Linked DNA regions of Caenorhabditis elegans. The protein of the gene in region 2 interacts with the protein of the main gene of each other region in a pairwise test. Each region holds a gene or a part of one and is shown on either strand. Other genes may lie near its edges.

What was found.
Region 1: the proteins of prp-21 (region 2) and bed-1 interact in a two-hybrid assay, tested with the Caenorhabditis elegans proteins (one large-scale study listed by BioGRID).

The regions. Positions count from the first base shown.
Region 1 is NC_003283.11:19,122,826-19,127,641, reverse strand, and holds the start of bed-1 (BED-type domain-containing protein), read left to right. Parts: upstream 1-2,728; 5' UTR 2,729-2,734; coding exon 2,735-2,990; intron 2,991-4,816. Other genes in the region: dyf-17 (Verprolin), read right to left, coding at 20-112.
Region 2 is NC_003280.10:482,214-487,029, reverse strand, and holds the start of prp-21 (uncharacterized protein), read right to left. Parts: upstream 2,165-4,816; 5' UTR 2,162-2,164; coding exon 2,056-2,161; intron 1,926-2,055; coding exon 1,637-1,925; intron 1,551-1,636; coding exon 1,391-1,550; intron 1,169-1,390; coding exon 799-1,168; intron 18-798; coding exon 1-17. Other genes in the region: gldi-1 (NLE domain-containing protein), read left to right, coding at 2,652-2,788, 2,836-2,929, 2,981-3,056, 3,100-3,376, 3,928-4,111, 4,395-4,559.

The DNA of each region.
Region 1 (4,816 bases), on a different chromosome or scaffold from region 2:
TAAGAGTTTTAGTCCTTACCCTCGCGGCCTTCGCGTTGTCCAGCCGCCTCTCCAACATTGCAATCCTATCATCAACATCGACTAATGCTTCTTTTTCGTTTTTTGGGAGCATTTCCTGTTAAAAAACATAATTTGACGTTAAAAAATAAACAATTTTCAAAAAAAAAATTTCGAAAAAAACACGAAATTTTTTGTGCAAAAAAAAATTTCCAAAACTTTTCGGGACTTTTTTCCAAAATCAAAATATTGAGCATGTTATATTATCATAACTACAAAAACTACAAACTACAAACTACAAACTACAGTATACATCAAAATTCTAAAATTTTGGCTCAAAAATCCCAAAATGGCCGTGCAACTGAGGCAGCTGTCACCATGGTGACCGTCTCCGTTTCTCTGCGTCTCTCGGGGAGCCAGCTCTCTCACATTTTGACAAATTTATTGTTTAGAAGCCTAAAATGGCAATATTGAACAGAAATTTCGAATGTTTCAGCGAAAAAATCGATTTAAAATTGGGTTACGGAAGCTTTAAAGGCGCATATAGCCAAAAATTGAGAAATCAGGTTTTTCTGGCATTTTCAACCAATTTTTAGAAATTTTTGTTCATTTTTTGCGAAAAAACGAAAGAAAACCAAAAAATTGAGCCAACAGCAGAGAAAAAACGATTTTCCGAAAAATTTAATGGTTACGGTAGGTTTAAAGGCGCATTGCACAATTTTTTGGGCTAAAAATGGAGAAACATGATTTTGCCCTACGGTTTAGAGTTTTTCATGTGAAAAATCTGGGAAAAACCAAAAAATTTGCTCCAAAAACTGAGAAAAATTGATTTTTTTTTTAAATTAAAAGGTTACGGTAGGTTTAAAGGCGCATCACACAAATTTTTGCGTTAAAAAGCAAAAAATTTAGTTTTTCTGTATGTTTCTTCAATTTTTTGTCAATTTTCAGTGAAAAATCAAGAAAAAACAGAAAAATTAACCCAAAAACAGAAAAAAAATCGATTTTTCGAAAATTTAAAAGGTTACAGTAGATTTAAAGGCGCATCACACAAATTTTTGGGCAAAAAGTTGAGAAAGTTGTTGAGAAAAACATTTCAACGTTTTCATGTGAAATATAAGGGAAACACCGGAAAATTAAGCACAAAACAAGGAAAAAACAATTTTTCGTAAATACTGAAAGGTTACGGTAGCTTTAAAGGCGCATTGCACAATTTTTTGGGCTAAAATGTAGAAACATGCTTTTTGCACTGATATTTATCGTTTTTCATGTGAAAAATCCAGAACAAAACTGTAAAAATGAGCCAAAACAAGAAAAATTGATTTTTTTGCAAAAATAAAAGGTTACGGTAGGTTTGAAGGCGCATAGCTGGCAAAAAATGTTGCAAAATGTTTATTTCAGCCCGCTTGATTGGCTTTTCCAGTAGAATTTGAGAAAAACGACTTTTGCCAAATATTAAAGGAATACAGGAATACGGTATGTTTAAAGGCGTATAGTTGAATTTTAATTTTAAAAAAAAACAAAAAAGAATTGCCCCGAACCAGGATCGAACTGGTGACCTCACGATCTTCAGTCGTGCGCTCTCCCAACTGAGCTATCGAGGCAGATGTGTGACACTCCTCTCGAGGCCATGAAGACAACAACTATGTACCCCCCCCCCCCCACACACTCAGCCCGTCTACCCGTCTAACACCCTCCGGCTTCCCCATTGTCTCTAGGAAGGCCGCGTGAGGCGGGGAGGCTGTCTCGGGCCCGAATTGATTGGGCCGTCTGCGGTCTCTTATGTTTGTGTGCTATCTCGTTGGGGGGTGTCTCCTGCCCAAAGGCCTCGGCTAATCCTTCATTCTTCCCGCCTTTTTCGCCTCTTGCTTATACCTTTTTTTTGCCGTTTTTACCAATTTTAGAGGTTTTGGAATAATTTTTGTGCAAATGTATAATAAGGTTGGAATAGTAATAATATTAAAAATTAATAAGAAAATGCGAAGAAAAAAAAACAAAAAAAAATCGCTTTTTCTCAAATTTTTCGAGTTATGCGCCTTTAAACCTACAGTAACTCTTTTCTTTTTGCAAAAAATCGCCGATTTTTATTGTTTTTTCTTGACTTTTAACGGTAAAAAGTAAAAAAATCCCGAAAATTCACAATTTTCCTAAAATTATTCGAGTTATGCGCCTTTAAACCGACCGTAACCCAATTTTGCGATTTTTTGTTGGTTTTTATTGTTTTTTCGCAAATTTTTCGGTAAAATTTTTTAAAAATGAAAATTTATTCAATTTCAGCACATTTTAACATTTTTCCAAGTTTTTTCTGCAAAATTTTTAGCCTATGCGCTTTTAAAACCACCGCAAAATAGGTTTTCTTTTCTGCAAAAGATGATTTTTGGGCTTTTTTAAAAAATTTTCGTTGCTTTTTACGCTTTTTTCTCAATTTTTTGGCATAAAAATGATGAAAAATCATTGAAAATCGCTAAAATACAAATATTTTCCAAGACTCCAGCAAAATTTTGAGTGATGCGCCGTTAAACCTACAGTAACCCACTTTTTTGTTTTGCATATCGATTTTTGAGTTTTTAAACTGATTTTCAACGGTTTCCTTGATTTTTTTTGTAAAAAATGTCGAAAAATATGATTTTATTTTTTATTTTTTTTAGGAAAATGTAAAAAATAAATACATATCCCGCAAAAAATCGATTTTTCCACTCAAAACCTTTTTTTTTCTTGAAAAATATTCAAACTTTCAGAAATGGAATCCACTCAAAAAGACATCAAGCTAGAACCCGACGAATTTAACTACATAATTGCTCCAGGAGCACCAGAATCTGAAAATTTAGCTGAAAATCCTGAAAACCCCGTAGATTTATCGGAAATTCCGTTGGAAACGAAGCCGGCGTGGTTTCCGTCGTCAAAAGGCCGGTCTATTGTGTGGGAGCACATTACGTGGGTGGCTGAAAGCCAACGAGCCGCCTGTAATTATTGTGCTGCTGAATTTCAAGTTAAAGGTGACGTTTGACTACAAACTACAAGGTTTTAGAGAAAATTTGAAGAAAAATGACACTAAAACTACAGAATTGCAAAAAAAAATCGAAAAAAATGATTCAATTTGAGCAAAAAATGACAGAAAATCGAAAAAAAAGGCGCTGCTAACACTACAAACTACAAGATTTTGGGCGCTGCTAAGACTACAAACTACAAGATTTTGGGCGCTGCTAAAGCTACAAACTACAAAATTTTGGACGCTGCTAACACTACAAACTACAAGATTTTGGGCGCTGCTTAGACTACAAACTACAAGATTTTGGGCGCTGCTTAGACTACAAACTACAAGATTTTGGGCGCTGCTAATTCAATTTTGGGCGCTGCTAAAGCTACAAACTACGAAATTTTGGACGCTGCTAACACTACAAACTACAAGATTTTGGGCGCTGCTTAGACTACAAACTACAAGATTTTGGGCGCTGCTAAGACTACAAACTACAAGATTTTGGGCGCTGCTAAGACTACAAACTACAAAATTTTAGGCGCTGCTAAGACTACAAACTACAAGATTTTGGGCGCTGCTAAGACTACAAACTACAGGATTTTGGGCGCTGCTAATTCAATTTTGGGCGCTGCTAAGACTACAAACTACAAAATTTTGGGCGCTGCTAAGACTACAAACTACAAAATTTTGGGCGCTGCTAATTCAATTTTGGGCGCTGCTAAGACTACAAACTACAAGATTTTGGGCGCTGCTAATTCAATTTTGGGCGCTGCTAAGACTACAAACTACAAGATTTTGGGCGCTGCTAAGACTACAAACTACAAAATTTTGGACGCTGCTAACACTACAAACTACAAGATTTTGGGCGCTGCTAAAGCTACAAACTACAAAATTTTGGACGCTGCTAACACTACAAACTACAAGATTTTGGGCGCTGCTTAGACTACAAACTACAAGATTTTGGGCGCTGCTTAGACTACAAACTACAAGATTTTGGGCGCTGCTAATTAAATTTTGGGCGCTGCTAAAGCTACAAACTACGAAATTTTGGACGCTGCTAACACTACAAACTACAAGATTTTGGGCGCTGCTTAGACTACAAACTACAAGATTTTGGGCGCTGCTAAGACTACAAACTACAAGATTTTGGGCGCTGCTAAGACTACAAACTACAAAATTTTAGGCGCTGCTAAGACTACAAACTACAAGATTTTGGGCGCTGCTAAGACTACAAACTACAGGATTTTGGGCGCTGCTAATTCAATTTTGGGCGCTGCTAAGACTACAAACTACAAAATTTTGGGCGCTGCTAAGACTACAAACTACAAAATTTTGGGCGCTGCTAATTCAATTTTGGGCGCTGCTAAGACTACAAACTACAAGATTTTGGGCGCTGCTAATTCAATTTTGGGCGCTGCTAAGACTACAAACTACAAGATTTTGGGCGCTGCTAAGACTACAAACTACAGGATTTTGGGCGCTGCTAATTCAATTTTGGGCGCTGCTAAGACTACAAACTACAAAATTTTGGGCGCTGCTAAGACTACAAACTACAAGATTTTAGGCGCTGCTAATTCAATTTTGGGCGCTGCTTAGACTACAAACTACAAAATTTTGGGCGCTGCTAATTCAATTTTGGGCGCTGCTAAGACTACAAACTACAAGATTTTGGGCGCTGCTAAGACTACAAACTACAGGATTTTGGGCGCTGCTAATTCAATTTTGGGCGCTGCTAAGACTACAAACTACAAAATTTTGGGCGCTGCTAAGACTACAAACTACAAAATTTTGGGCGCTGCTAATTCAATTTTGGGCGCTGCTAAGACTACAAACTACAAGATTTTG
Region 2 (4,816 bases):
TGCAGGGGCTTCTGGTGCTGAAAATATATAAATATACTCATTTTTAATTTAAAAATTTGAAAAATTAAAAAAAAATACTTTTCGTATTTCGGGTGACACGTGTGCTCTATTCCAATAATTGTTGGTCAGAATACGGTAGTTTTTGCACTTTCAGCCGAGAATATCGATATTCATACCATCAATTTGGATAGAAACTCACATGTCCCAAAAATTCATTAGTTTTCCGAGTTAAAATTTGCCAAAGCTAATAAAAAAAAATTGATTTTTTTGGGTCTGCTAGACTACGAACTACAACTTTCGATTTAGCAGACCCAAGTGAATTGGAAGAAATTGGGTCTGCTTGACTACAAACTACAAACTCGATTTAGCAGACCCAAGTAGTTTCTACAGAGAATGGGTCTGCTAGACTACAAACTACACATTTCGATTTAGCAGACCCAAGTTGTTTTGAAGAGCTTGGGTCTGCAAGACTACAAACTACACATTTCGATTTAGCAGACCCAAGTGATTTGGAAGAGAATGGGTCTGCTAGACTACAAACTACAAGTTTTGATTTAGCAGACCCAAAAAATCTTACTTTTTAACTCAAAATTGCGATTTTTGTTCGTTTTCTACGAAATAAAATGTGAATTCGCCTAAAAATTTTAAATATTCCAGGTTGGAAGCACTTAAATTTGAATTTCAGCGTTTTCATAGTTTGCCATTGTTTTCCATCTATTTTAAAAGTAAAACTGTTGGAAAAAACCGGAAAAAAGTGAATTTTGTCTATTTTCAACGTAAAATGCTCCAAAAAAGCACCTTGAACGGCATCTTCGTCATCGGAATCACTCTCTTCCATATCCATTTCCTGCATTTCAGCCGCCGCCTTTTGCATTTCATTTCTCGCTTCCAAAAGAATACGGGCTCCAACGTCCTTTGGTGTGCATAGTGGTGGAAGCTGAGAAGTATCTCCTGGCTGGAAATCTACAGTCTGAACAACTACAAAGTCATGCCAATCGATTGATGCATAGGCTTGACGCTCTTTCTCGGCTTCTGCCTCCTCGCGATCTTTTAGACCTTTTTGATGTTTTTCCCAGGATACACGATAATTGATATCTTCTATGAGACGTTTTTTGTTGGTAGCATCGTCTTGGAGTTGGGCAACTACGTTGGTAGAGGGCACCAGAACCTGAAAACTGATATTTTAGCAACTTTTAGCTTAAAAATTTCAAATAAAAGTTATAAAGCTCACTTTTCCGCCATCTTTAAACTGAAAATAGTGAAAAAGTTATCAAAATGTTTTTTTTTTGAGTTTTCTACCGAAAAAGCTGGATTTTTTTTGAGTTTTCAACCGAAAAATCTAGATTTTTTTAAAAATTCTTAGAAATACGCAGATTTTCTTGATTTTTACCTTCTGATATTGATCAACGAGCTTTGTGAAGTATGTAAAGTTGCAATGAGCCGGTTTCAAAAAGTCGAATTGATAATTTCTGGCTTCTCGTGTCATCAATTGAGTCAGAAATTGACGGCCATTTCGTGCAACGAACAGAGCAACGAGTCGGATCAAATCTCTGCAATTTATAAGGTTTTCACTTCATTTTAGGTTAAAAATAGCTTTTTCATCTAATTTTAGTTCTAGAAGTTCTAAAAAACTTACAAATCATAGGCGTTAATCGTGGATGGATCCGCTGAGAACTCGTAGGCCGGCGGTGGAGCTGAAGGCACAAATTCAGCCTTTTTCACGTGCTCTTTCACTGCTTGCGGTACTTTCGGAGCCTCAACTCGGCCTTCTGAGAAATCGTAGACCATCTTTTTGTAGTAGGCATGGTATGGGTCTGTGATGGAGAGAAAGTTGAATTTCGGGTTTTTCGCCTCCTTTTCGCGGATTTTATTCTCAAAGTCCACTCCATTTTTTGCAGCGAAACGGGCGGTTTTGTCGACGATTGCTGAAAATTGAAAATGTATTGCTTATTTTTGGAAAATATCGATTTGCCCTAGTTTTTGCGGAATTCCGCGTGAAATCTTTCCAAAACCATGCAGAACTGTTTTATTTTTGGTTTAAACTATAAAACTTACTGCGAATATCCGGCGGCGGGTAGATTAATCCAATAATCGCACGCCCTGACAACGAGGGCTCGTTGTTCATCGAGTCCTCCTCGCGGTTTGAGACAACTGCAGTCATTTTCTGCAAATTTATAAGATAAATAATTTGAAAATTCGTAAATTTCGCAAAAAATTCAGGAAAATTAATAATTTAATTAAAAATAGAGAAATAAAGCAATAAACTGAAAAATAAACGTTTTCGAATATTAAGTGGAGGTTACTAGGCCACTACAGAACTCGACCATGACCAAATTCAAATTTTCCCGGTAGGTTTTTATCTATTCTTTATTGTTTTCGACATAGTTTTTACTGCTGTTACGTTAAAAATGTTTTATATTGTGTAAAAACATAACAATCTGTAAAAAATTTACAGTTTTCTCTATACAAATGAATGCTAAAAAGTGATGGCCTAACTTTTTCCACTGTATTTCTTTCTTCGCTCCACTGAGAAAAATAATTTATTTAGCGCAATTTCTTAACGAATTTCTTCGATTTCCAGTTCAATTTCAACGATTTCCCTTGTTATAACTTTCAAAATAATTAAAACTCAAACGGTTTCAGGTAACAAAATGACTGAAAGTCCACAAATCTCGGTCAGCTTCGTGTCAGAGGACGAAAACGAGCTCGGAGGATCGGGAATCCTTGTTCCAGTGGACATCTCCACGAATGAGCTGCAAATTTTGTGTAATCAGCTTCTCGGGAGCAGGTTTTGTTTGAATAATGAATTTTCTGTATCTCATCCTGAGTTTTCAGTGACGATCCTGTGCCGATTTCCTTCTTCACCACAGAAGGCGCTGAAATTGTCGATTCCATTCGAAAATCGTTAGAGGAAATTGATTTTGAGACTGTAAGCCCTTGAAAGAAGATAGAAAACTTTTTAAAAAATTTAAAATTTCAGACATTAAAGCTTGTTTATCAGCCACAAGCAGTGTTCCGTGTGAGACCAGTTACCAGATGCTCCGCTAGCATTCCAGGTAATTTTTTGATCGTTTTGACGCATTTAAATATATTTTTCAGGTCACGGAGAGCCAGTAATCTCTGCTCAGTTCAGCCCTGACGGACGTGGTCTAGCGTCGGGCTCCGGCGATCAAACAATGCGAATCTGGGATATTGAGCTCGAGTTGCCTCTCCACACGTGTAAATCCCATAAAAGTTGGGTTCTCTGCATCGCCTGGTCACCGGATGCTACGAAAATCGCTTCGGCTTGCAAAAACGGAGAAATTTGCATTTGGAACGCGAAAACCGGAGAGCAAATCGGAAAAACGCTCAAAAGGCACAAGCAATGGATCACGAGGTGCAGGAAAATCGCATTTATCACTGAAATGTCTTGAAAATTTGGGTTTTCTACAAAAAATCGCCGTAAAATTGTATTTATCACTACAATGTTCTCTTAAAATTTCCATTAAAACCCCACTGAAACGATGTATTTTTACTGAAACCCTTTTGAAAATCACTATTATTTGGGTTTGCTAAATCGAAATTTCTAGTTTGTAGTCTAGCAGACCCAATCACTTCAAAATCACTTGGGTCTGCTAAATCGAAAGTTGTAGTTTGTAGTCTAGCAGACCCAAACTTCTTCAAAACCACTTGGGTCTGCTAAATCGAAATTTGTAATTTGTAGTCTAGCAGACCCATTTCGAATTCCAATAATTTGGGTATTTTAAATCGAATTTTTAATATTTTCTATGAGTTTACTTATCATCCATAGTGGAAAAATGTGATTTTTAACAGAAAGCTTCAGAAAACCCGAGTTTTTCTCTCAAATATTAGCCAAAAATTAATTTTTCAACATAAAAACTAAACATTTCCATTTCAAATCGAATTTTTATAATAAAATTTTTGCAGTTTGGCATGGCAACCGATGCACAAAGACCCGACGTGCAGGCTTCTGGCTTCTTGTGGAAAAGACGGAAATATTTTCATTTGGGATACCGTACAGGGTACTGTAGTTCGCTGTTTGAGTGGACACACTGCTTCGGTCACCTGTCTGCGTTGGGGAGGCGAAGGACTTATTTATTCCGGATCTCAGGTAACTTTTTGCAGGAAAAGTTGTGAAAAATCTTGAAAATATTTTTTAAAAACGTTGAAAATTCAACGACGGGGATGTCACTTTGAAATGCGCAAACTGATTTTAAACACCGAATGATCACAAACGAATCCGAATTAACTTAAACTCGCGCATATTTAAAAAATAGTTCGAAAACCATGAAAATCGCATAAAACCTACCGTAATCAATTTATTCTCCTAATTTCGAATTTTTTTAAAACATAAATTTCAAGCCAGACTCCTTCACAATAAAAAAAATTTTCAGGACCGAACCGTAAAAATGTGGAGAGCCGACGATGGAGTAATGTGCCGAAACATGACCGGACACGCTCACTGGATTAACACTTTGGCACTGAATACAGATTATGCGTTGAGAACCTCGTGCTTCGAGCCCAGCAAGCGTTGTATTAAGCCGGATACTGTGGAGGAGGTAGAAAATTGGATTAAAATCTGAAAATTTGGAGTTTTCCGTTTTTTTTCCATTAAAAACCTTTAATTTTAAAATTTCTAGAACTTTTCTACTGGAAACATCAATTTCCTACTCTAAAAACAAGAAAAATTGTAATTTTTTATATTTTGGAGGTTTTCTTCTTTTTTTCTCTGGACAATTTCTGTTTCCTACTTGAAAGTCTGAAAATTTGAAATTTCATTTCGATTTTGACTAGTCTACATCTTTAGGTTTTCATG